7 linked regions of the Callithrix jacchus genome follow. The protein of the gene in region 5 interacts with the protein of the main gene of each other region in a pairwise test. Links are inferred from orthologs where the notes say so. Each region holds a gene or a part of one and is shown on either strand. Other genes may lie near its edges. The genes, in order: OLFM1, PCNT, SNAP91, FRMD4A, TRAF3IP1, FGFR1OP2 and GOLGA4.

Region 1 (4,016 bases), on a different chromosome or scaffold from region 5:
AAAAGGCCTATTAACCTGCGGACCCTGTCAGGCCTGCGCTTCCGGGGGAGTGGGGACCTATACGCGCGCGAGTCCCGCCGCGGTCACCGACGCCGCGGTCACCGAGAGGGCCGGGGAGACGGGCAGCTGCGCCAGCCGAGCCTGGGGGCCAGGACTCGAGCCCCACCCCCGAGAGGGGCGCGGGGAGCCAGTGAGGACACCCCCCACCCACCCACAACCCCCACCACGGCCCCCAATGTCTGCCTCACACACCCTGCCCCACCCACCCACGCCCCCAATCACTGACCTCAGACTCCGCCCCACCACGGACTCCAGACCCCGCCCCACTCACCCACCGCCCCTCACCACGGACCCTAGTCCCCGCCCCACACACCCACGCCCCCATCACGGACCCCAGTCCCCGCCCCACACACACCCCCCACCACGGACCCCAGTCCCCGCCCCACACACCCACGCCCCCATCACAGACGGCAGTCCCCGCCCCCCACGCCCACCGCCCCACACCACGCCCCTGGGCGTGGCCTTCTTAGCTGCGGAGGCCCAGGCCCTGCGCGGGTCCTGCCCCACGTGCGCCCTCCTGGGCGCATCTCTGAGCTCCGCGGGCCACCCCCAGCAGCGCTGGTGCCGGGAGTGCGGGTCCGGCCCTTCCTTCCCCCGAGGCCTCAGGGCCCCGCGGCCGCCCAGGGCTCGCAGGGCGCTTTTCCCTCTGCAGCGATGTCCGACTCCGCTGGCACTGGAGACTCTCGGGAGTCCAGCTGCTTTTGGAGCCGGCCCGGTTTCAGGCGACGGCCCAGTCTGGCTGGGCCCCTCGAACCACCGCGGAAAGGGGCCGCGGTAGGCAGGACGGGGCCGTCTCCCCGCGGGCAACCTTTGCCCCAGAGCGCGCCCTCTTCGGGGATCAGAGAGGGGCCGCGGCGTGGGGTGGGGGGAGCCCGGCGCGGGAGGGCGCGGTCCGTGCCCCCAGCTGGGGTCCCCGCGCCGCCGCCGCGGGGTATTTTCTGAGCCGGGGGCGGGGGCGCGTTCGTCTCCTCAAGTCACCCCGATCCCAACTCCTGGGCGGATCGGAGTCTGCAGATCTCGCTGCCGGCGCCAGGGGGCGGCGGGGAGCCGCGCGTGCAGGAAAAACCCACCCATTTCCTGGGCGGATTGCGTCGGCCCCGCCCTATCGAGCCCCGCCTCCCGGCCGCGGCCCCCGCGCGCAGCCCGCGCAGCGCTCAGAGCCGAGCGGCGCTTCCCGGTGGCGGCGGCGAATCGCGGAGGGACTCGGCGGGGCGGGCAGGCGGCGCGGGGCTTGGGGCGCGGCGGGCAGCGGCCGCCTGGCCACCCTCCCTGGCGCCCGGGGAAGGAGCGGCGATGGCCAGGGCGCGCGGTGCGGCGGCGGCGGCGGGCGGGCGGCGGCGGGCCGAGGGGGCGCGGGGACACAGCCGGGCGCCCCTGCCCGCCGCGGTGCCCGCCGCCTGAAGGCCGCCCGGGCGCGGGAGCCGGTGCCAGCTCGGAGCGGGCGCTGGAGGCGGCTCCAGGCGCGATGTCGGTGCCGCTGCTCAAGATCGGGGTCGTGCTGAGCACCATGGCCATGATCACCAACTGGATGTCCCAGACGCTGCCCTCACTGGTGGGCCTCAACACCACCAAGCTCTCGGCGGCCGGCGGCGGGACGCTGGACCGCAGCACCGGCGTAAGTGCGCCCGCCGGCCGCCTTGGCTCGGCCCCCCCTCCTCCCTCCTCCTCCTCCTCCTCCTCCTCCTCCTCCTCCTCCTCCTCCTCCTCCTCCTCCCCTCCCCTCCCCTCCCCCGCTTCGGTCCTGAGCCCGGGGCTGGGCCGGCGCCGCGCGGGACCTGAGTCGCCCTGGAAGGCGGCGGGGATCAGGGTGGGCAATGACCGGGGTCGCGCGCCGGCGCAGCGGTGAAGACCCTGCTCCCCACGCCCCCAGCCTGGGCCACTCCGTCTCCGCCCGCGCGCCCCTAGGGCGGCGTTTCCTTCGCCTGAGCCCCTCGCAGCGGGGTCCGGGGAGCCTGCTGGGCCGCGGAGGCTTGGAGTCCTGGGTCACGAATTGTGAGCCCCTCATTGAAAGGTTAAGAAACTAAGGCTGGGGACTTGGGGGCCTGTCCAAGGTCACACTCAGCAAGTGAGGGGTGGAGCCGCCGCTAGACCTCAGTCTGGGCTCTGTCCAGCTGGGACTCTGAGCCCGCCCTAGTTTGTAAAAGCCAGACTGGCCCTACCTGATTGGGAGTGGGGCCCCGCCGGTGGGCCCCCGGAGCTGCTGCCCGCGCCTGCGTTCCCAAACTCCCAAGACGCCCTTTCCTCCCCAGCCCCATGAAGGATTCGTCCCTTCCCCTCGGAGAACGGTGCCGAGGGTCTGGGGCGGGGCCCCTGGGGGCCTGCCCTTGGGTGCTGCTCACCCCGTCGCCTTTGCCTCCGTCTTCCGCGCGCACCCCTCCCTCCTGGCCTCTGAAATTGAAATCGGGTCTCCCTCCCGAGCTTAGTGGGAGGGGGAACCGTGGCCAGGGCTGTTCTGAGTTAGATGACTGAGCGAGGTTGAGCCGAAACCACCCACCCGGAAGGCCGAGCGTGGAAGGGGCTGCCGCTGCGAACACGCACCCCAGACCACTGCCCCTTTAGGCTGAAAGGAGAGGTGAAGGACGTGAGTCTCCCTCCCTCTCCCTTTTTGCTGCCAGAGGTTAGGTGCTCTGCAAAGAGGGCTCTGTGGTGTGGCTCCCTCCTAAGACCCCTCTTGAAAACACCCCCTGCTCCTTCAGGAATGGAAGGGCGACTCCTCCATGATGACTTTGTTCCAGCCGCCGGCCCGATCTTGTGCAGTCGGGAATGAATGAGATTAAAGATATGACTACTATAGATTCTCCCCGCCCAACTTCTCTTCCCATCTTCATGCTAAAAATAGCAGAGAGGTGACCTGAAGCCACCGGCGGGGAGTGTGCTTGGAAACAGTGGGGCCAGCAGCAGGGTGGAGCGGGTTTGCTCCGGAGTGCCCGCCCCAGCACCTGGCAGGGCTGGATTGCAAGGTTACACCAGACATGGGCAGCCCTGGTTTCTTGGTGGTCTTTGGGCAAACCTCAGGACTGGGGTTGGGGTGACCCCTGCACAACATGTCACCAGCAATTTGGTGACATCCACCAAATGGCTCGTGGGTGGAACCCACATGGAATGGGAAACCTAGTGTTTTCTTGGGTCAGTCTTTGCCAAGCTGCTGGCAGGGAGGTTGTGGTGGTTCGTGGTTCATCACTGCTCTGGGCAAATAGGCTGCTGGAGCTGGGGCTGTTACAGTGAACACTTCATCTGTGAGTGTTAGGGAATGTCAGGGCAAGGCTTGGTGGTGCCAGCTACCCATGCATGACTTACGGGAAGGATATCCTGTTTCTGAAATACGTGCCCTCCGCAAGCCACCAGGCATTTGCTTTCCTGCCTTGCTCCTCGTCCAGCCGGTGGCCTCTAGTTGCCCCTCCCACCCACCCAGCAGATCAATTTGGCCAGATGACAAACTCTAGACATCCCTTGAATTGAACCTGAATTTTAAGAACGTAAAGGGTCCTGCCTCTTTGACTTCCTTTTAGCCTTGGGCCCCCTAATGGGAGACCTGTGCCTTTTTGTTCCCAGGGGCCCTTTCTCCCCTTTGGGTCAAACATGTCTTGGGGCCATTTCCTTCTGCCTTTTCCCTGGGACTGGATGTGGACAGTTTCCCCTGGTTGTTGGCTCTGATGCACAACCTCATGGTCTCCCTTTCTCTTCCTCCCCACCCCTGCCCTCTCCAGGTGCTGCCCACCAACCCTGAGGAGAGCTGGCAGGTGTACAGCTCTGCCCAGGACAGCGAGGGCAGGTGTATCTGCACAGTGGTTGCCCCACAGCAGACCATGTGTTCACGGGATGCCCGCACAAAACAGCTGAGGCAGCTATTGGAGAAGGTGAGTCTGCATGGAGTGTGTGTGTGTGTGTGTGTGTGTGTGTGTGTGTACATCCATGCCTGTGTGCTCACACCAGCACCAAGGCTTGACTAGCTTGCA
Region 2 (3,500 bases), on a different chromosome or scaffold from region 5:
GTGGCCACAACGGCGAGACTCCTGCCAGTGTCCGGGGAAGGTGGATGCCACGCACCTCAGCTGGAGGACCTCCTGCTGCACCTCGTGTAAGGCGCTGGACAGCCGCTCGCTCTCCTGCCTGCACTCGCAGAGCTGAGACTTCAAGTCCCACACTGCATTCTGCTCAGCCGCCAGGAGCTTCTGCAGACCGCTTGCTTTCTCTTCCTCTTCTCTCAGTGTCTTCTGTAAGTCGCCTGCAATGGACTTCTCCTGCTCTACTTTATAGGTCAGCAGTTCAACTGAGAAAGACGAAAGAACAGAAATACAGGCCCCGTGAGCACCCCATGCTGCACGCGTGACACAGGTTAGAGACAGACTTGTCGGGGCACGGGCTGAATCCACTTTGGGAAGAAAGGAGGTTCTGTGGACTAGAAGCTTTTGTTGTGGGTGGAGCAGGACGCTCATTTCTGCCATCTGGGCCACTTCCTTCTGGGCCCACGCTCCTGGTGGGGAGCCCACGGAGCACAGGAGTGATGTGTCCCTGTGGCCGTCCTGAAATGCCACCCCAGCCCCATTCACACCCTAAACTGCCTCCAATAGAGGCAACTCCAGGCCCAGGTGGCTTTACTGGAAAATTCTTCCAAAACTTAAAAGAACCCCAATTCTAGACAATGGAGGGGATACTTCCCAAACCCCCATGGGGTTGGCGCTACCTAGCATCAAGCAGAAAAAGGCACAAGAGAAAGGAATCCAGAGATCAGCGCCCCTCTCCACAGAAAGGAAACTGAGACCAGCGCCCGCCCCCAGCCCAGAGACCATGAAGGGAAGGACAAGGGCGCTGGACAAAGGCCGTGGCCTCAACTGCAAGGCTTTTCCCCTTGACAGAATCCAAAACTAGGAACAGAGGGCACTTGCCTGAGCTGAACAAAGGTGCCTGACCCCACATGCACGGGCACAAGACCAGGTCCTGCCCCCAAAACTGAGAGCAGAGAAGGGCATCTGCCCATGCAGCTGGTGGCACAGCACTCAAGAGAAATGGCGGGAAATGAAAAATCAATCATTACTTACCCACGATGATGGGAGTGTTTACATAAAAACTCCCAAAGGACCTGAACTCAATGTAGAAACCTACAAGACATTCCTAACTCTAGTGCAAGCTCCCCAAACTCTGCCAGCACTCAGAGCCCAACACAGACCCCTCCTGCCCACACCAGGCCTGGCCATGAGGCCTCCATGCCCTGGCCCCTCCCAGCTCTGCCTGTCTCCAGGGCCCTTTCTGCTCCCTTCTATCAGCTGCCAACTGTAGCGACACTTGGGGGCCCAACAAGATGATAGCCTGTCACCACCTCTGCCCCAAGGCCACACAGGTGAGCATCAGGTGGGCAGGGGCAGGGCCCCACAGGCAACGTGAACAGTGGCACCCACCCTGCCTGCGCAGCTGGTGCTCCTGCTGGCTCCCACACGCCTCCGCGCTGGTCAGTGCCATGCGCAAGTGCTGCAGCTTCTCCTGGTTCTGCAGGTGTGTCATGCGCAGCTGGGCACGCAGAGCCTGGATCTCAGACAACAGGCTGCTCCGGTCCAGCAGGCGAAGATGCTCCAGTGACTTTTCCTGCAGGTCTCCCTGGGGGCAGAGGGGGAAAAGCCTGAGCCCCAGGTGGCTGCCGCATGCCCCAGCCTTCCAAGCCTGCTGAGTCTAGAGAGGGTGCACAATAGCCCCTGGGCCTCAGCTCAGGCCTGTGGGCATCAGGGCTGGGCCATGCTACCCTACATGAAGCCTGCAAGCTGGTTACTCTCAACACTGGGTCTCCTCACGTGTACAATGGCGGCAACAGGATTTCTAGTGTCCCCACAGCACCAACGCCACCCAGCTCTGCACACAGAGAACCTCACCACCCAGGAGGGGCTACTTGGAACATGGAATGTCTCGAGCTGCTAATCTCGAAACAGAGTAAGGTAGTGAGGGTGGATCACATGCACAGCTGTCCTCATCAGAGCTGCAGACGGAAAATCATAGCAGCCCACGTGGACTGAGCGTGACCACCTGGGGCACAGCCACATTCCAGCGGTGGAGAGAAACACACAAACAAAATTCAGATATAAAACAGTCCGTATAACCCACTCTGCCAGGGCTGGACTCCTGGGGTAAACTGAGGCCTGGTGGCACAGCTGTCCCTCACCTGCTCACAGATGACCTTCTCCAGCCTTTCAAGCAGGGAGCTGCGACACCCCGGATCCGAGCCCCCGAGTTGGGGCTGCAGCTCAACCCCCTGCATCTGCTGCTCTTTTTCAAATGCCTCCTGCACAACCTGCAGAAACTCCCCACTCCAGTCAGGGCACGTGCTGGGCAGGTCCTAAAGTGTGAAGGAGCAAACAGTCCTCACAAGTGCACCTGCAGGTGTCATGAGGACTGCATGCTCGCCCCCCAAAGTTCCCAGTGTGACTGCATTTGCAGATGGGGCCTGTGGGAGATGATTCAGAGTAAACGAGGCCTCGTAAGAAGAAGAGATGCCAGAGCTCGCTCACTCTCCACCATGTGAGGCCATAGCAGGGCAGCGCTGTCTGCAAACCAGCACCCAGCCCTGTGGCACCTGATTCCAGAACAGATGAAATCAAGGTCTGCCATTTACACCCCTGCACTGGGGTGTTCTGTTATGGCAGCTGAGCAGATGGACACCCATTCAAACAGAAATGACCCTGACAGAAGAGAAGATTACACACTGCCCAGGGCCATGTGGGGCACCAGAAGCAAACGCTGCCATCATGAGAAGAGAAGAGGCGAAAAAACGATACAGTAAGGTCAGGAAAACATCAGCAAAGCTCCTTCTTTCTTTTCCTGCTGCTGCACCTTCGAGGCCCAGAGCCTAGAGGGGTCTAAGGCTACAAGGGGCTGCCCAGTGGTCCCCGGGGCGGCATGCAGCACCAATGAGCCTCCTGAGTGCCAGCCAGGCTGCTGCTTGCACATGACAAGGGGCTGCCCAGTGGTCCCCGGGGCGGCAAGCAGCACCAATGAGCCTCCTGAGTGCCAGCCAGGCTGCTGCTTGCACATGACAAGGGCCTGCTGGAGGGGCAGGCAGCGGCAGATGGGGCTGACCCACCAGCTCTCCAGGGTACCAGCATGTCGTGCGAGTCCCAGGCACAGGGGACAAGTCCGTCCCTGCCTCACGAAGCTCTAATCCTGGTCAGAGGCAGACGCAGGGGCAAGATGGGGCGGGCATGGAAGATGGGAGGAAGCATGACAGGGCTCAGCACCCACCCCACAAACTCTGCAGGCCCTGGGGCTGGAGGGAGAAAAGCAGAAAGATGGGCAGGGATTGGGGAGAAGTGGGACAGGGGAGGGGCAGGCAGCACAGAGATGAGGCCCTGAGGTCCAGTTGCCGAGGCCTGGGGTGTGGAAGGGGAGGTAGGAGAGGCCCATTGGAAGGAACAAGGCCAGGGGGCGTCACCAGAGGGACAGGAGGAGGGGCCTTGGGGCCAAGTGGTGGGATGGGCTGAGTCCTCAGGCCACATGGCCAAGAGAGAGC
Region 3 (3,500 bases), on a different chromosome or scaffold from region 5:
AATATTAAGAAATAACTTAGGCCAGTATTGCTCCTCCCACATTCCCCAAATATTCTCTGGGCTAATTTTAAGCTGGCCAAAAACTAAATAAACCTAAAGGTGACAGAGAGCTCTGGTACCACTTTTACACAGACACTGGAGAGCAGGAACATAAAGGCAGGAGTTCTGGTAGCAATTTGAATTCTAATGTTAATAAACCTGAAAATCAAATGGGCCTGATGCACTGCAACCTCGGCTATAAAAGTACTAAAATTAAGTGAAGAGAAAGTTGATAAATTTAGTGAAGATAAATATACATGAATGAACATTGAAAAAGTACTTAAACACTCTGGCATGCTGTTATATAATGTTAACAATTTTAAACACCTTAACTCTCAAGTAATTTTTGCAATCCTGAAAGGAAACAAAAATAGTGGCGAGACTAACTAACCTCCAAAGAGATCCACTTCAGCAGTGACAGCAGTAACAGTTGTAGTAGTAGAGGCAGAAGCTGAGGCAGTTGCAATTTCAGCACTTGTAGTAGGAGGGGTAGGTTCTGGTGCAAATGGGTCTGAAATCTGTGCTTCAGAGGGAACAGAGGAGAGTGCAGCCAAAGAATCTATATTTTACCAGAGACAGAGAGAAAATGGAAGAGAAGGAAAAGACGAAAGATATACCAGACTCCAAATGGTCAAAATGAGGACAGTTGTTACACACAGAAGTCACTCAAAATGGAAGTTTAAAAACAAAGCTTTACTCACCCTCTCCTAAAAGGTCTACCGATGTCCATTACATTGGCAGCATATGAATAAATAAGAGCTAAAGTTGAAACACGCAACCATACCAATGTCCAAGCCACATAAGGCAGTAACTAAAAAAACCTTAGCTTTATGTATCTTCTACACCATTTGTAATTAAAAAATAAATGCACTACCTATTATTGTGGAACTTTCAAGCTAGAAGTCACCTTATAGATCCTTTAGACCAAGTTTCACCTATAGACATATACACTAGATTTTATTAACAAGAAAACAGGTCACAAAACTACTTGTACTATAGTTAACCTTATACATGAAGATATCAGAATCATATGATCACATAATATTGATTAGCTTTCCAATATGTGTTGGTAAATAATTTTAATTCTAACAAATTCTGGTAGTAATCCCATATATCTCAAAAAAGTAGAAATTTCACTTTAAGCATGTACAAAAAGAAACAGTTTTCCCATGTCTAAAATATACAGACATAAAACACACACTTATGGCTGGGCGCGGTGGCTCAAGCCTGTAATCCCAGCACTTTGGGAGGCCAAGGCGGGTGGATCACGAGGTCAAGAGATCGAGACCATCCTGGTCAACATGGTGAAACCCCGTCTCTACTAAAAATACAAAAATTAGCTGGGCATGGTGGCACGTGCCTGTAATCTCAGCTACTCGGGAGGCTGAGGCAGGAGAATTGCCTGAACCCAGGAGGCGGAGGTTGCCGTGAGCCGAGATCGCGCCATTGCACTCCAGCCTGGGTAACAAAAGCGAAACTCCATCTCAAAAAAAAAAAAAAAACCAAAAAAAAAAACAAAAACAAAAACACGTATTTGTGCTCTGCAACATGAATTTATTATGAAGAAAATAAAACACTCTATTATGGAACCAAAGATGAGGATTTTAAAAATTCTCTATATTCTTTCAGCTGACGGGGTTCATCACCAACCTGTAGAAATGCCAAATCTTACATGCACAATTTAAATTAAATTTACTAAAGTGAATTTGCTAAAATTTGTTGCTCTACACCAACAGGGGAAAAAATGCTATCATTACAGTATGTCCCCTGAAGTAAAAATTGTGTGTTAGAACCTATAACCCCCAAGAGAAATTTACAGAAATCAGAGTGGCCATGGTCCTTGGAAATGAGACCATCCAAATAGTCTAATAGAATTTTAGAGTTTATATTTTATTGTCTAGCTATACAGAATTCAAATATGCTTCACCTTATCAAACAAGATTGGCTTAATCTTATCTAACAAGATTGAGAAAACAATTTTATTTTATTTTTTGCTTAGTCAAATGAATGAACACATATCTGTTACAATTTAGCATCATCTTCAACCATGACTGGGTATCTACTGGGCAAATGCAAATAGAAGGTAACCATTATTTCTCAATTACATATTATAAAAGTGTACTTCAATTTCTTGAAGTCTTATAATTTTTACTATTTTGCTTAGAAATTTCTTTATTAGATTTCTCCCCACTGCTCCAGCAAAGGTGACTTTTCAATTGCTATGAAATGCTGCAGTTACAGATATTTTGTTGAGGCAAAAGTGCTGTCTAATCATCAAAAGATGACCATCAGGCCCTATATGGTGCCTTTGTATTAATTATAAAAATGTACTCCCTGGGGTAAGAGAGGGAGAGCATTAGGACAAATACTTAATGCTTGTGGGGCTTAAAACGTAGATGATGGGCCAGGCATGGTGGCTCACACCTGTAATCCCAGCACTTTGAGAGGCCAAGGCGGGTTGATCACGAGGTCAGGAGTTCAAGACCAGCCTGGCCAACATGGTGAAACCCTGTTTCTACTAAAAATAGAAAAATTAGCTGGCATGGTGGCACACGTCTGTAATCCCAGCTAATCAGGAGGCTGAGGCAGAAGAATCACTTGAACCCAGAAGGCAGAGGTTGCAGTGAGCCGAGACTGTGCCACTGCATTCTAGCCTGGGCAACAGAGCAAGACTCTCTCTCAAAAACAACAATAACAACAACAACAAAAACTTAGATGACAGGTTGATAGGTGCAGCAAACCACCATGGCACATGTATACCTACGTAACAAACCAGAACATTCTACACATGTATCCATCCGGAACTTAAAGTTAAAAAAAAAAAAGAAATAAGAAAGTTTACATGATTTTCACATTTTTATCATTTTAAACAAGTTAGAGATAGTACCTTTCTTGTAGTGTAGTGATGACCAGCATAGTACTTGTCACAGAAGGAGCATTCAACAATATTAGCTTTCACTGTAACTTTAGAACTTAGTTTTTATTTTTAAATGAATCTTATAAAAAATTTTTTTTAATTTTTTATTGCATTTTAGGTTTTGGGGTACATGTGCAGAACATGCAAGACAATTGCATAGGTACACATATGGCAGTGTGTTTTGCTTCCTTCGCCCCTTCACCCACATTTGGCATTTCTCCCCAGGCTATCCCTCCCCAGCTCCCCCCGCCCCACACTGGCCCTCCCCTTTTCCCCGCTATAGACCCCAGTGTTTAGTACTCCCCTCCCTGTGTCCATGTGTTCTCATTTTTCATCACCCGCCTATGAGTGAGAATAGTCACTTAAAATTTAAAAAAGCATAAAAATATGCTTTTAAAAATCAAACTACTATGGAAATTTCTTTATTCCAAATTTTGGCCCATTAGCTTACCTGTTGGGACAACTGATGTTTAGCCATGTGAACAGGCGCCATTTCTCAGAAATATAATTTGGATCCAACAGCCTTTTTGGTGTATTTTTTTTA
Region 4 (3,500 bases), on a different chromosome or scaffold from region 5:
CAGGCCTGAGCCACCGTGCCCAGGTGGCTGGTTTAACATGATACTGGAGTCATGATTCTGTGGTTCTCCTTGTGTCTACAGAATCATTTCCACTTAAAAAAAAAAAAAAAAAAAAAAAAAAAAAAAAGCCTCAGAAATGGAAATCCTTCTGTGAGTGTCCTAGCTTCGGTCCCACTGGGAATCAAGGTGGAGACCCTAACTTCGCCTCCCACAAAGGACAATTCCATTCATGTGGAAACAGCAGGCAGTTACCGGATCCCCGGGACAGCCCTGCTGAGGGAGACTTTGGCTTGCTGGGCTGGGGTCTGAGCCCGCGTGGAGGCCCCCATTGCCCTACCTGGGACCCCTTCCTCCCCGGGCCCACCCCCCCACCTCCCACCCCCAGACCAACCTGGGCGTCTCCTGGCAGGTCGGTGGACATCAGCCCCACGCGACTGCACAGCCTCGCACTGCACTTTAGGCACCGAAGCTCCAGCCTGGAGTCCCAGGGCAAGCTCCTGGGCTCGGAGAACGACACCGGGAGCCCCGACTTCTATACCCCGCGGACTCGTAGCAGCAACGGCTCGGACCCCATGGACGACTGCTCGTCGTGCACCAGCCACTCGAGCTCGGAGCACTACTACCCAGCGCAGATGAACGCCAACTACTCCACGCTGGCCGAGGACTCGCCGTCCAAGGCGCGCCAGCGGCAGCGGCAGCGACAGCGGGCAGCGGGCGCGCTGGGCTCAGCCAGCTCGGGCAGCATGCCCAACCTGGCTGCACGCGGGGGCGTGGGGGGCGCAGGGGGCACAGGCGGCGGCGTGTACCTGCACAGCCAGAGCCAGCCCAGCTCGCAGTACCGCATCAAGGAGTACCCGCTGTACATCGAGGGTGGCGCCACGCCCGTGGTGGTGCGCAGCCTGGAGAGTGACCAGGAGGGCCACTACAGTGTCAAGGCCCAGTTCAAGACCTCCAACTCCTACACGGCGGGTGGCCTGTTCAAGGAGAGCTGGCGCGGTGGCGGCAGCGGCGGTGACGAGGGCGACACGGGCCGCCTGACGCCATCGCGATCTCAGATCCTGCGGACTCCATCACTGGGCCGCGAGGGCTCCCACGACAAGGGCGCGGGTCGCGCCGCGGTGTCGGACGAGCTGCGCCAGTGGTACCAGCGTTCCACCGCTTCACACAAGGAGCACAGCCGCCTGTCGCACACCAGCTCCACCTCCTCGGACAGCGGCTCGCAGTACAGCACCTCCTCCCAGAGCACCTTTGTGGCGCACAGCAGGGTCACCAGGATGCCTCAGATGTGCAAGGCCACGTCAGGTGAGGGGGAGGCCGGGCGCGTTCGGGAAGGCCTGGGTGCGAACTGCTGGTGTTCAGGGCTACTGCCGGGAGGTACCCTTACATCTGGGTGCAGTGAGGAACCAGAGTCAGTCATTCACTCCGGGAACGCTGCTGTCAGCTGCGGGAGACTTGAGGCATGTGCTGACTCCCCTTCCTAATTGCACCCTGACCCTCCAGAGGGCACTAAGCCAGCTTAGTCAAGGTCTAAACCATCTCTTCCATCCAAGAAAGTTAAGTAATGTCTCCGGCTTTATCCAACCAAAGGTGCGCCTTTACCCTAGTAAGGAGAGGATGCCAGGAAGTGAGAGCCCACAGCTGTGGCTTGCAAAGGAAGCTGGTTGGGGATGCGCTTGGGTCAATCCTAGAGATTGGGCCAGTGTCTCCCCACGTAGGGGCAGACTGGCTGATAAACAGAGGGCCAGAGCCGTGCATGTCACAGAACTCCTGACTGCTCCTGGCTTCCCATTTCAGTGACAATGTTACAGCGTAGCCACAAACTAATTTTAGTTAAGCGTCTTCAATATCCTGGATATTATGCCTGAAAATTTCCATAATCTAAGGTTAAGGTTGACCTTATATTCTTGTGAGCAACAGCATTGTGCAGTATTGAATCAAGTAAAAAAAAGAAAGAAACCAACCAACCATTCCCTAATGAGGCTACATTTAATAACAATAACAGTGATGACCAACCCTGAGCAGTTGCCTTGCGCTCTGGTCTCAGCACTGGCATATTTACATACTCTAGCACTCACAGAAAGGGAGAATGAAGAGAACAGAAATGGTTAACACTAAGGATAAAATGAGAGTCAGAAGCCAATGGGAGGAGCTCTGAGTCAGGAATTTGACAAAGATCAGGGGAAAGAGAGTGACCTGAAAGGTAATGTGGGGTTCATCCTGGGGGAACTGTAGGACATTCTCAGTACCTGGAGACAGCAGGGAAAGAGGCAGAAGCTGACTGCCCAAGTGAGCCAGGCTCCTGCCTTCTGTCCCCATATCCCTGTTGTTGGCCAAATGACAAGCTCCAGAGATCAGGCAGTCGTGGGGAGTTCCATGGACTTCAAGGTCCTGGAACCTTCTTTATATTCCTCCTTCATCTGTAAAACAGCACAGTGAAATTCGCCATTGCCTCCCCAGGAACATCTTGAGCACACTCATCTGTGACCCTATTAGATAAAGAACCAGCAATTTGTAAATACCTCCGCCAAACTGGAGTGTTGATGTTCTATCAAAATTGCAGCGCTTGTCTAGTAGATTTGCTTTATGTAAAGAGATTAGGGAGATCTTTTGGAACATACTTTAGAGTAAAACTTTTAAGAAGCTGTATCTGAAGTTTACTGATGGAAAAGATTCCATTCCCAAGAAAGCAAAGGATGCATTTAAGTAGGACTGACTTCCTACTAAATCTGCCTGCATCAGTAAATGCCTACCAGTCAGGTTTGGATTAGCTACTAAAAGTCCTGCTTTTTTCAAAACGCACTACAGTAGCAATGATAAGCCTGAAACAGCAGAGAGAGCAGGCTTTAAGAATCTTTCTGGGTGCACTGTCTTCACAATGGAGAGAAACAGGGCCACACTGAAAATGCCCTGAGGCCAGAGAAACAGGCTCTTCCTATATGAGCCCTGCTCAGGTGTCCTCTCAAAGGACATGAGGACATCAGGTTCTTTGCTGCTGCAGAAGCTGTCACCATCCCTATGGCCACTCTCTGATGGCAAACTGGGGACCTAGGATCCCAGGTCAGCTTGGCTCAGAAGGAAGGTGCATGGTAGTGACGAGAAAATGCAGAGGTTGCAGGGGAGGGGGGTGGTGGAGCATGCAGAGATGGTTCCCCACTGTGACCTTGCCGTAGGGAGGCTGAGACCCTGACATGGGGTCCTTTCCAGCATTCCTGGACAGGGTGACCTCTGGCCGCTGGGTTGGTGTTGGCCAGCAAGTCACAAGCCCCTTTGCCTGTGTCTGATCCCTGTCTTCTCTTTGCCTTTGTTGCACCATCTGCATCCAGCTGCCTTACCTCAAAGCCAGAGAAGTTCAACACCCTCAAGTGAAATTGGAGCCACCCCCCCAAGTAGCCCCCACCACATCCTAACCTGGCAGACTGGGTGAGTTCTCCTTCCAGGCCTTTGGCCTGGTTCTTATTCCATGTTCTTCATTGTGTCCGCTCCAAAGTGTCATAGACGTT
Region 5 (3,500 bases):
TCCTGCCATCCTACCTTTCTTTGGATTTCTTGCACAGGACTCTGGACCTTATGCGGACTTTCTTCCATCTGGTATGTGTGTCCAACTCTTCTGTAAGCCTTCTGATCCCCATCTAGGTGTGATTCCTCCAGGAAGGGCTCCTGCCACCCCTTCCCCTCCTGGATTGTGGACTAGGTACCAAACCTAAGTTCTTCCTTAGTATCTGGATGGTGTCATCTTTACCCGTCTGTCCATACAGCCACACTAAATTCTGTGAGGACCTGGCTGGCTTCTGCCCTGTACACACGCGTAGTAGATATCAAGTATTTCTTGAGTAAGTGGATGGGTCTGGGCTGCCAGTCAATTCTGACATCTCCCAGGTGTGGAGTTCAGTGGATGAGGCGGATGAGGAGGCTGTCCCTGAGGTGACAGTGGTGGCCTTTTTTTTCTCTCTTGAAGGTGATTAGAATGACTGGTTTCATGAAGGGCCTCTACACAGACACCGAGATGAAGTCTGATAACGTGAAGGTAGGTTGGAGTCGGGTGTCTCCTGTTGACCCCTTGCTTACTGGATGGGACTTTTTGTCATCCAGGTGGTGTGGTGTGTCATTTCTGTGCTGCATGTGGGTGGAATACAAGGTCGGTGAATTCATGAATTGATGTATATCCCCTTTCTCATTGTGGCAACTGCGTGTCATGCTAGTTTTATTCACTGAAAAGTGGAATTGGTATTTCAAAGCTTAATGCTAGCCCGTCAACTAAATTAAAGGCTTTACTGAATTGATTTTGTTTTGCCAGTGAAGATCAGTATTTCTAGATTTGTTATATATCTAAAAATAGCTTTGTATGTAAACAGAAACTATCCTGTGCCTGTTGAACCTGCTGAAGATAATGCAAACTCTTCAAAGTATTATAATATTTGTATTTTCAATGGAAATATTTCAGGATAAAGATGCAAAAATCAGCTTCCTGCAGAAAGCCATAGACGTGGTTGTAATGGTTTCAGGAGAGCCACTGTTGGCAAAGCCAGCCCGAATTGTGGCCGGGCATGAACCTGAGAGAACAAATGAGCTGCTCCAGATAATTGGAAAATGCTGTCTCAACAAGGTACTACTACTGCCGTCCTGGCATTTTGAACTTAGTGCTTGAGTAACAAGCAGTCGGGGGTGAGGGACTCAAATGTGCGGACGGTTTAAGGAAGGACTTTCAAAGGCGTCTGTCAAACGCTGTGCTTTGAATCTGATCCTACTCCTTCTGGAGCCCTAGAGATCCAGGAGGAGGAATTTAAAACTGAACAAAACAAGTAAGTGTTTGTTATATATAAGTTCTGCAAGCTTTCAATATAAAATTGGGAATGCTGCAGGCACTCTGTGCCCAGCTGGCAGCTGGAGGCTGCAGGCCCAGGCTTCCATGTCCTCTGGCTTTCTCTTTTTTGGGGCTCCCTTGAGGACAGGTAGCTGCTTCCAGCCAGGGCTGGAGTATCGCAGATGTGCTTTTTTTCTTGTGGAGGTCTCTGTTCTCTTCCTGCGATGTTTGCTTACCTGTCATTCTTCCTCTCTCTTCTCTACTCTTTCTCTCTCTCTCTCCCAGTTGCTGTTTCAATTGTACAGGGAGTAGATTTGTTCTTTCCTGAGCTTGTCACAGTGGGCTGGAAACTTGGGTGTCAGGCCTCAGGCTTCTCTGGTTAGGTCCAGCCTGGGCCATGTTTGCCCGAGCATTGGAGAAGGTCTTCCCCCACCGTCTTCCTTCTATTGAAGGCCAAGTAGTCGTCCTTGGAGGAGCAGGTTGGGCTTGTACTCAGAGTACAGTTAATACAGTTTTCCACATACCTAGTGGGTGGTTGGCTGGGGGCTAATCTTAAATGTGATGCACATGGGAACAGGTGGGTTTCAGCCCCCTCAACGGCAGTGGGTCATGGAGGTGTGTAGGGGTGTCCAGCCAACTTCTGGGAGGCCTCGCCCTAGTGCAGGTCCAGCATGTAAGCTTAGAGACTTGGAAGCAGATTTTGCCGGTACACTGGCCTCTGTCCCCAGGCTCCCCAGATCCCCTTCCCGGGTCCTTTATGTTGCTCTTCTTTCTGAAAAGCACATCTGACTCCTGTGTCCTCTGCTGAATCTTCTCCACTTCCAGTAGCCTCAGGGTCAGGCCAGCTCCATGGCATGGCTTGTGAGGCTCCTAGAGACCTGCTGCTACTTTTTCCCCTCAGGTCCTTCTCTCATTTCCCACACCGGAGCCCTCCACTCCAGTCACACACACCATGGCATTCAGCCCTGGCCCACTGTCTCCCATCAGTCTCGTGCCCTGGTGCTTACTGGCTTGTTAGTGCCTGAGCTGCCTTCCTCCTCCAGCCTCATTGAGCAGCAGTGTGGCATCTATGAGCGCTGCCTTGAGCCCAGGCCTCTCCTCCCTCCCAGGCTGACTTGGGTGCCCCTGTAGGCTTCCTACAGGCTGTTGTTTCATTGTTATGTCTGTCTGTGTCCCCAGTACATAGTGAGTCATTGGCCCATGGAGCCTGGCACGTGGCAGTCACTTAGCGTGTGCTTGTGGAATGAGTGTGTGAGTGAGTGGGACTCCTGACTGGAGGTGTCATAGACTCTGGATGGCTGTCAGGGATACGTTTTGCATTTGACGGGGCTTGAATTAGATCAGATTCCCCCCCCCAATAATTTTATTATTGTGTTAAAATCCATGTAACATAAAATGTAACACATGCACACGAATGTTCATTGCAGCACTGTTTACAATAGCAAAGACCTGGAACCAACCCAAATGCTCATCGATGATAGACTGAACTGGGAAAATGTGGCACATATACACCATGGAGTATTATGCAGCAATCAAAACCGATGAGTTCATGTCCTTTGTAGGGACATGGATGAATCTGGAGAACATCATTCTCAGCAAACTGACACAAGAACAGAAAATGAAATACCACATGTTCTCACTCATAGGCGGGTGATGAACAATGAGAACACATGGACACAGGGAGGGGAGCATCACACACTGGGGTCTGTTGGGGGGAATAGGAGAGGGACAGCGGTGGGGGGAGTTGGGGAGGGATAGCATGGGGAGAAATGCCAGATGTGGGTGAAGGGGAGGAAGGCAGCAAATCACACTGCCACGTGTGTACCTATGCAACTATCTTGCATGTTCCGCACATGTACCCCAAAACCTAAAATGCAACTAAAAAAAAAATGTATCATGCTAACCATGTTGAAGTGTACACTTCAGTGGTGGGAAATTCATTCATCAAGTTGTGCAGCCATCACCGCTTCCATCTCCAGGATGCTTCGTCTTGCAAAACAGACTCTGTCCCCATGAAACACTCACTTCCTCTTCTCCCAGCCCCCGACCCCTGGCAACCTCCATTCTGTTTTCTGTCTCTGTGAATCTGACTACTCTGGCGGACCTCAGTTAAGTGGAACATGGAGTATTTGTCTTTTTCTTTGACTGGCTTATTTTACTTAATATATTTGACTTAATTTCACTTTATGTGCAGTCTGAGTTCTCCCGGTTTACCC
Region 6 (3,500 bases), on a different chromosome or scaffold from region 5:
TGTCGAAGACAGACTGGAAGGGGGAAGAGAGACTGGAATCAGGGAGATCAGTTTGGACATTTCGGGTAAGAGACTGAGCATCTAATCTGGGGGCCAATGCAGTGGGACTGCAGAGAACGAAGCTGACTTACTTCATAGCTAACAACAGTGGTGCTAACTGGATATTGAAGGTGAGAATCTAAGAGGATGTAAGCAAGGCAGATGTTTGTATGTAGGTAATAATATAGAGCAATAAATATGGTTTAGGAATGGAGACTAGAAATGGGATTAATGTCAAAAAGTAACATATCTTGCCTTTGTTTTCTTGTTGCAATTCTCTGATTTGTCTGTTTTCTTGCTGGATTCCCATAACTAATGTGGAGCGTGGCCGATGTCTTGCAACTTCATTAAGTTCTTGAATTTCTTCCTGATACTAATGGGGAACAAAACATGTGGGATGAAAATATCTGCAAATATATATCTGATATAGAAATATATCTGAAATATACACATAAATATCTGATAAGAGCTTAGTATCCAGAATATATAAAGAACTCTTACAACTCAACAATAAACTGGAAATAACTTCCATTGTTAAAAGTGGCAAAGGATTTGAATAAATATTTATCTAAAGAAGACACAAATAGCCAATAAGCACATGAAAAGATGCTTAATTAACATAACTAGTCATTACAGGTCTGCAATTCAATATAACCCACTAGGATGATTATAATAAAGACAATAACAATTGTTGGAGAGGATGCGAAGAAAGTGGAACCTTCCATACATTGTTGATGGAATGTAAAGGGATGTAGGTCTTGGGTGTCCAATCTTCTGGCTTCCCTGGGCACGTTGAAGAAGAACTGTCAGGCCATTGCATAAAATACACTAACACTAACTACAGCTGATGAGCTTTAAAAAAAAAAAAAGTTGTGTAATGTTTTAACAAAGTCTGCAAATTTGTGTAGGGCTGCGTTCAAAGCCATCCTGTGCCATATGCAGCCAGCAAGTCACAGGATGGACAAGCTTGGTGCAGCTGCTTTGGGAAACAATGTGGCAGATCCTCAAAAACTTTAACCAAGTTATTATAGGACCCATTCATTCCACTTCTAGGTATATACCCAAGAAAACTGAAAACATATGTATGCACAGAAACTTGTACACAAATATTGACAGCAGCATATTCTTACTAGCCAGAAAGCAAAATAATCTGAATGCCTATCAGCTGATGAATGGATAAAAACAATGTGCTGTATTCCTTATGATGCAATATTTGGCAATAAACAGGAATGAAGTAGTGACACATGCTACAACAGAGATGAACCTTAAAAACATTACGTTAAGAAGCCAATCACAAAACGTCATGTATTTTATCATTCAATTCATATGAAATGTCCAGAATAGGCAAATTTATAGAGATAGAAATATTAGTCATTGCCAAAGACTGAGAAGGAAAGGGGAAACTAGAGAGACCACTGATGGATGTAAGGTTTTATGATGATGAAATGTTCTCGAATCACATAGTGGTTATACTGCATAACCTGCAAATGTGTACTAAAATCCAATGAACTGTATCCTTCATAAAGGTAAATTTTATGGTATGTGAATATCTCAATAATAATTATAGAACATGTACAAAAGAAATGCAAATGGATTTTTCATTAAGAAAATGAGAATCTTATTTTAAAATCACACTCATTTGTTTTCAAGGCATTTTCATCAGACAGTAATACATTCATTATAACACTCCTGGTTCTTTTTTTCCTTTTTTTTTTGAGACGGAGTTTCGCTCTTGTTACCAAGGCTGGAGTGCAATGGCACGGTCTGGGCTCACCACAACCTCCGCCTCCTGGGTTCAGGCAATTCTCCTGCCTCGGCCTCCAGAGTAGTTGGGATTACAGGCACGCGCCACCATGCCCAGCTAATTTTTTGTATTTTTAGTAGAGATGGGGTTTCACCATGTTGACCAAGATGGTCTTGATCTCTTGACCTCGTGATCCACCTGCCCCGGCCTCCCAAAGTGCTGGGATTACAGGCTTGAGCCACCGAGCCCAGCCAACACTCCTGGTTCTTAACTTCAGATGTCAAACTCCTTTTTTAACAACTCAATACCAGATATATGTTCACTGAAGTGCCTGAGTCTAGCTGGGCAGTTGGTTAGGGATGCAGGTAAATCTATTTAGGGCAACAAAGTTGTAAAACCAAATAAGTGAACTTGCTCCACTATTTCCAGTAGCTTTGTTAAAAATACTGTCCTAGAATTGCTTCCATGTACAAAATAGATGAGGAGAGTTGGCTATGGATATACATTTTCCCCCTCTGATTTCCACCATAATGTCAGAGATTTTACAATTTTCTTAAATGACTTGAAAATTTTTATCAGAAGGTTTAAAATAGGGTTTAAACTCCGTGGCCCTATTCTGTTATACAATAGTAAAAATAGCAAGAAGAAAGCCCTTTTTATTTATTCTTTAATTGGCAGCATTGAATAAAAAATAAGGGAGCAAGAATGGGTACAATAATTGCACAGACTATATATCAGATATTACCTTGCATCATTTTCAAAAGCTATTTTGTTGTTAAACAGCATCACCTAAGTACTTTTATAAAGAAAAATATGAACATTTCCACATTATATAAGACAGAACAAAATGTGTACCAACATTAGTAAAAGGTATTAACTGGTCTTTGTCAAATGTTTCTAGACCTAACAAATTCATTTATTTCAGACTCAAATGTGCAACTCTTGTCAGCAAAATAAGCAATCAAATCTAGGTCTAGTTTTGATCTAGAAATGTATGTCTACATATGTCACCTGAACATGACAAAATTAAAGTAAACCTGAAACACACAAGTCAAGTTACTTTAAAATTTAAGAGAACATTGAAAAAAAAAAAGATATATTAATTAGCCAGCAATACATAACTGTCAATGACTGCTTTTGTTAAACAGAAGGAACAAGAAAAATCAAACCTGTTTCATGGCTTCTACTCGCTTGTTGAGAGCTGTGGTTTGCTCAATCAGAGATTCCGCTGCATCGTCGTGATCTCTTAATCTTTCAACAAGAGCTTTAGCATCAGCAAGTGCCTTCTCAATTGTGCAACTCATTTCTAAAGAAATATCTATAATTAAAATTAAAATCAAGACTCAAAATAAAATCAACATATCACCTTATTTTAGTTTCATGTCTACACAGATATGCTCTGTAAGCCACATTTGTTACAATATGGTTTACTGCCTAGGGAGGAAAAAACATCTAAGAACACCTGTGATTTTGCTTCTGTTAGAATGGCACAAACTTGAAAGTAAATTTATAATATTACAAAAAAACTAAAACACATTTAAAAGATTTGCAGGTATAACTAGAATGTATTTAAAACACTCTGAATTTACAGTGGGAAAAAAGTACATGAATATAGTTAGTCCAAAAGTCCAACGAATGTAATGTTACACAGAAATCATGCCCTTTATGAGGGCATTCCCTATCTTGTCACTTTTGAGAAAGATCATTTGGTTCACCG
Region 7 (3,500 bases), on a different chromosome or scaffold from region 5:
TGAAGTTCTTAAAAATTACAGTCAACAAAAGGATATTGAAAACAAAGAATTGGTTCAGAAACTTGAACATTTTCAACAGTTAGGAGAAGAAAAGGACAGCAGGGTTAAAGAAGCTGAAGAAAAGGTCTTAACGCTTGAAAAGCAAGTTGATTCCATGAAAGCCGAAGTTGAAACTAAGAAGAAAGAATTAGAACATGCGAATTTAAGCTTGAAAAGCAAAGAAGAGGAGTTAAAGGCATTGGAAGATAGGCTTGAGTCAGAGAGTGCTGCAAAATTAGCAGAGTTGAAGAAAAAAGCTGAACACAAAATTGCTGCCATTAAAAAGCAGCTATTATCTCAAATGGAAGAGAAAGAAGAACAGTATAAAAAAGACACAGAAAGCCATTTGAGTGAGCTAAATGCAAAATTGCAGGAAAGAGAAAGGGAAGTTCACATCTTGGAAGAAAAACTGATATCAGTGAAAAGTTCACAGTCCGAAACATTAATTGTACCCAGATCATCAAAAAATGCGGCAGCATGTACTGAAGAAGAAGAAGCAGATTCCCAAGACTGTGTGCAGAAGATGTATGAAGAAGAAATCAGTGTTTTACAAAGAAATTTAACTGAAAAAGAAAAGCTGTTGCAGAGGCTGGAGCAAGAAAAAGAAGAGACACTTTCTTCTCATTCTGAAATGCAGTGCAAATACCAGGAGCTCTTAATGAAGCTCGAACATGATGAAGCAAAGCAACGTGAAGAACAAGTTATGACAGATCATCTTCAAGAAGAACTTAACGAAAAAAACAAGAAATATTCCTTGATAGTATCCCAACATGTGGAAGAAGGGAGAGGTAAAAATAACACAGAGGCAAAGCAAAACTTGGAAAATGTGGTTGACGATGTCCAGAAAACCCTCCAGGAGAAGGAACTAACCTGTCAGATCTTGGAGCAAAAGATAAAAGAGCTGGATTCCTGCTTAGTAAGACAGAAAGAAGTACATGGAGTTGAAATGGAAGAGTTGACCTCAAAATATGAAAAATTACAGGCTTTACAACAACAGATGGATGGAAAAAATAAACCCACAGAACTTTTGGAGGAAAACACTGAAGAAAAATCCAAATTACATTTGGTCCAATCCAAATTGCTTAGTAACATGGAAGGCCAGCACAATGACCTGGAGTTTAAATTAGCAGGGGCAGAACGGGAGAAACAGAAACTGGGCAAGGAGATTGTTAGATTGCAGAAGGACCTTCGAATGTTGAGAAAGGAGCATCAGCAAGAATTGGAAATACTAAAGAAAGAATATGAACAAGAAAGGGAAGAGAAAATCAAGTAAGTTTTATTTCAGCATGAATATTTTTATGGTGGTCCTTCTTAATTAAGTCTCCTTTTTTTGTGTGCCTAATAGAGTAATTTAAAATTATTTGGGCAAGTCTCGCCAACGCAAAATATTAAACATAAATCCAATACATTAAGTATGAGGAGAAATAAAAACAATTTAGGACAAATGACAGTGTTATTCCATGGCCATTTAGGGGAGAAAAACCTTTTCTTCCATATAAGATTCTGGTTATTAGGGTCATATTGAGGTAATTATTTTCTTTCTGTTTAATTGTTTTTAGTATTAGCATTATTATTATATAACATAGATGTGTTTTGAAAAAAATTTAAAGTGGAAAACAAATTCTCTGGTCCCCAGGACCACTCCTTACAGGTGATCATAGTTGATATGTCCTTACACACACACATTCTCTCTCTCTCTCTCTCTCTCTCTCTCTCTCTCTCTCTCTCTCTCTCCCTCTCTGAAAAATGTTTTCATACAGTGAACTCACACTGTATGCACTATTTTGAAGATCAGGTAGCTCTTTGCAGCTTCTTCTTTGTGTGGCAGCAGTTAACTGTACATTTTTGTTACTCAGACAGGAGCAGGAAGATCTTGAACTGAAGCACAATTCCACATTAAAACAGCTGATGAGGGAGTTTAATACTCAGCTGGCACAAAAGGAACAAGAGCTGGAAATGACCATAAAAGAAACTATCAGTAAGTAAAAGTTGTAAAAGTTTGATTTCCATAAGGAACAATTATATCAGCAGAGGCTATAATTTAAGCTTATTATTTTTGCACTTGTGGTAAGTGCATTAAGTCATTAAACTGGAGGAGAAGTAATTTTTTGCCCCAGAACATTCTCTAATGGGAACTTGCTCTGCCTGGCAATGACTTACCTTAAGGAGAGGAGGGGGAGTAAGTAAATGAATCTGAAAGAATTAGCTCATTAATTACTTTATAAAGACACTTTTGGGCTGGGCACGGTGGCTCCCGCCTGTAATCCTAGCACTTTGGGAGGCTGAGGCGGGTGGATCATGAGGTCAGAAGTTCGAGACCAGCCTGGCCAAGATGTTGAAACCCCATATCTACTAAAAATACAAAAATTAGCTGAGTGCAGTGGCACGCACCTGTAGTCCCAGCTACTCAGGAGGCTGCGGCAAGAGAATCACTTGAACCTGGGAGGCGGAGGTTGCACTGAGTGGAGATCATGCCATTGCACTCCAGCCTGGGTCCAGAGTGAGAGTCCGTCTCAAAAAAAAAGAAAAGACGCTTTTGCTCAGGGAGACATTTGATCAGTGTTGAGCTAGCTGTCTCATTGAACATCTTACAATGCTTATATAAAATTAAATTTCATCAAAATTAATCGGAATGAGAGTTGTTAACTAAAATTGAGATATAAATATTCACTCTTGACTAATGTGTTTTCTTGTGTGTGTCCATTTTTATTTAATAGATAAGGCCCAGGAGGTGGAGGCTGAACTTTTAGAGAGCCATCAAGAAGAGACAAATCAGTTACTTAAAAAAATTGCTGAGAAAGATGATGATCTTAAACGAACAGCCAAAAAATATGAAGAAATTCTTGATGTATGCACCTTATTTTCTCTCTCTCACTTTAGAAATTTAGCTGTAATAGATTTCATGGTACTGCCAAAAATTTCCTTTTCCAGTGTGGTTTTTTTTTTGGTTGAAAAGAGTTTTTTTGGGCTTAATATTATTCAAATTAATTATTTTATATTATATGCAGATTTATAGAGTCAAATTGATTTCTTTCAGGATTGAAATTTCCTGATCGGATTCTACTAACCAGGCAGCACAGTCCCCTTGATAGTATTGAAGCAACAGCAGTTACTAAAAGGGAGAATAGATTCTTTCCCGTCTGCCTTACAGCTTCTGATGGAAGTGTGAGAGAACCGGACTAAGAATCAAGGCCTGTGCTTAGGTGAAGAAGTCTAAGTAGTGGGATAGTGAGTTTGTGTTTAAATGTGGCTGCTTAACTTAGCTGGGATCTTTCTGGGAGGGCCAGTTAACTTTATTCCATCTCCACCCAATATGTGGAGGTTGTATTGGTCTGAGGAGAAAAAAAATGGGAAAAAATGGAATGCAGAAGCCAAATCTTTTATATTTAGTGGAAAGTTATTTGAAAGTACTTACTCTATTAATGTTATGTTGCCATTAGAATATGCCACTAATGCATTGC

The links.
Region 1: the proteins of TRAF3IP1 (region 5) and OLFM1 interact in a two-hybrid assay, tested with the Homo sapiens proteins (2 studies listed by BioGRID and IntAct). The link is inferred for Callithrix jacchus from reciprocal best matches to the Homo sapiens genes TRAF3IP1 and OLFM1.
Region 2: the proteins of TRAF3IP1 (region 5) and PCNT interact in a two-hybrid assay, tested with the Homo sapiens proteins (2 studies listed by BioGRID and IntAct). The link is inferred for Callithrix jacchus from reciprocal best matches to the Homo sapiens genes TRAF3IP1 and PCNT.
Region 3: the proteins of TRAF3IP1 (region 5) and SNAP91 interact in a two-hybrid assay, tested with the Homo sapiens proteins (2 studies listed by BioGRID and IntAct). The link is inferred for Callithrix jacchus from reciprocal best matches to the Homo sapiens genes TRAF3IP1 and SNAP91.
Region 4: the proteins of TRAF3IP1 (region 5) and FRMD4A interact in a two-hybrid assay, tested with the Homo sapiens proteins (2 studies listed by BioGRID and IntAct). The link is inferred for Callithrix jacchus from reciprocal best matches to the Homo sapiens genes TRAF3IP1 and FRMD4A.
Region 6: the proteins of TRAF3IP1 (region 5) and FGFR1OP2 interact in a two-hybrid assay, tested with the Homo sapiens proteins (2 studies listed by IntAct). The link is inferred for Callithrix jacchus from reciprocal best matches to the Homo sapiens genes TRAF3IP1 and FGFR1OP2.
Region 7: the proteins of TRAF3IP1 (region 5) and GOLGA4 interact in a two-hybrid assay, tested with the Homo sapiens proteins (2 studies listed by BioGRID and IntAct). The link is inferred for Callithrix jacchus from reciprocal best matches to the Homo sapiens genes TRAF3IP1 and GOLGA4.

What each region holds. Positions count from the first base shown.
Region 1 is NC_133502.1:183,617,287-183,621,302, forward strand, and holds the start of OLFM1 (noelin), read left to right. Parts: upstream 1-1,216; 5' UTR 1,217-1,525; coding exon 1,526-1,675; intron 1,676-3,767; coding exon 3,768-3,917; intron 3,918-4,016. UniProt on the Homo sapiens protein: Contributes to the regulation of axonal growth in the embryonic and adult central nervous system by inhibiting interactions between RTN4R and LINGO1. Inhibits RTN4R-mediated axon growth cone collapse.
Region 2 is NC_133522.1:52,009,974-52,013,473, reverse strand, and holds part of PCNT (pericentrin), read right to left. Parts: intron 2,331-3,500; coding exon 2,157-2,330; intron 1,601-2,156; coding exon 1,405-1,600; intron 279-1,404; coding exon 56-278; intron 1-55. UniProt on the Homo sapiens protein: Integral component of the filamentous matrix of the centrosome involved in the initial establishment of organized microtubule arrays in both mitosis and meiosis. Plays a role, together with DISC1, in the microtubule network formation.
Region 3 is NC_133505.1:89,164,806-89,168,305, forward strand, and holds part of SNAP91 (clathrin coat assembly protein AP180), read right to left. Parts: intron 756-3,500; coding exon 741-755; intron 599-740; coding exon 431-598; intron 1-430. UniProt on the Homo sapiens protein: Adaptins are components of the adapter complexes which link clathrin to receptors in coated vesicles. Clathrin-associated protein complexes are believed to interact with the cytoplasmic tails of membrane proteins, leading to their selection and concentration.
Region 4 is NC_133508.1:14,621,283-14,624,782, reverse strand, and holds part of FRMD4A (FERM domain-containing protein 4A), read left to right. Parts: intron 1-391; exon of another isoform or gene 392-409; coding exon 410-1,302; exon of another isoform or gene 1,303-2,486; intron 2,487-3,323; coding exon 3,324-3,420; exon of another isoform or gene 3,421-3,500. UniProt on the Homo sapiens protein: Scaffolding protein that regulates epithelial cell polarity by connecting ARF6 activation with the PAR3 complex. Plays a redundant role with FRMD4B in epithelial polarization. May regulate MAPT secretion by activating ARF6-signaling.
Region 5 is NC_133507.1:159,646,508-159,650,007, forward strand, and holds part of TRAF3IP1 (TRAF3-interacting protein 1), read left to right. Parts: intron 1-438; coding exon 439-507; intron 508-924; coding exon 925-1,086; intron 1,087-3,500.
Region 6 is NC_133510.1:44,293,204-44,296,703, forward strand, and holds part of FGFR1OP2 (FGFR1 oncogene partner 2), read right to left. Parts: intron 3,102-3,500; exon of another isoform or gene 3,090-3,101; coding exon 2,953-3,089; intron 413-2,952; coding exon 295-412; intron 1-294. UniProt on the Homo sapiens protein: May be involved in wound healing pathway.
Region 7 is NC_133518.1:75,183,729-75,187,228, forward strand, and holds part of GOLGA4 (golgin subfamily A member 4), read left to right. Parts: coding exon 1-1,308; intron 1,309-1,895; coding exon 1,896-2,017; intron 2,018-2,756; coding exon 2,757-2,887; intron 2,888-3,500. UniProt on the Homo sapiens protein: Involved in vesicular trafficking at the Golgi apparatus level. May play a role in delivery of transport vesicles containing GPI-linked proteins from the trans-Golgi network through its interaction with MACF1. Involved in endosome-to-Golgi trafficking.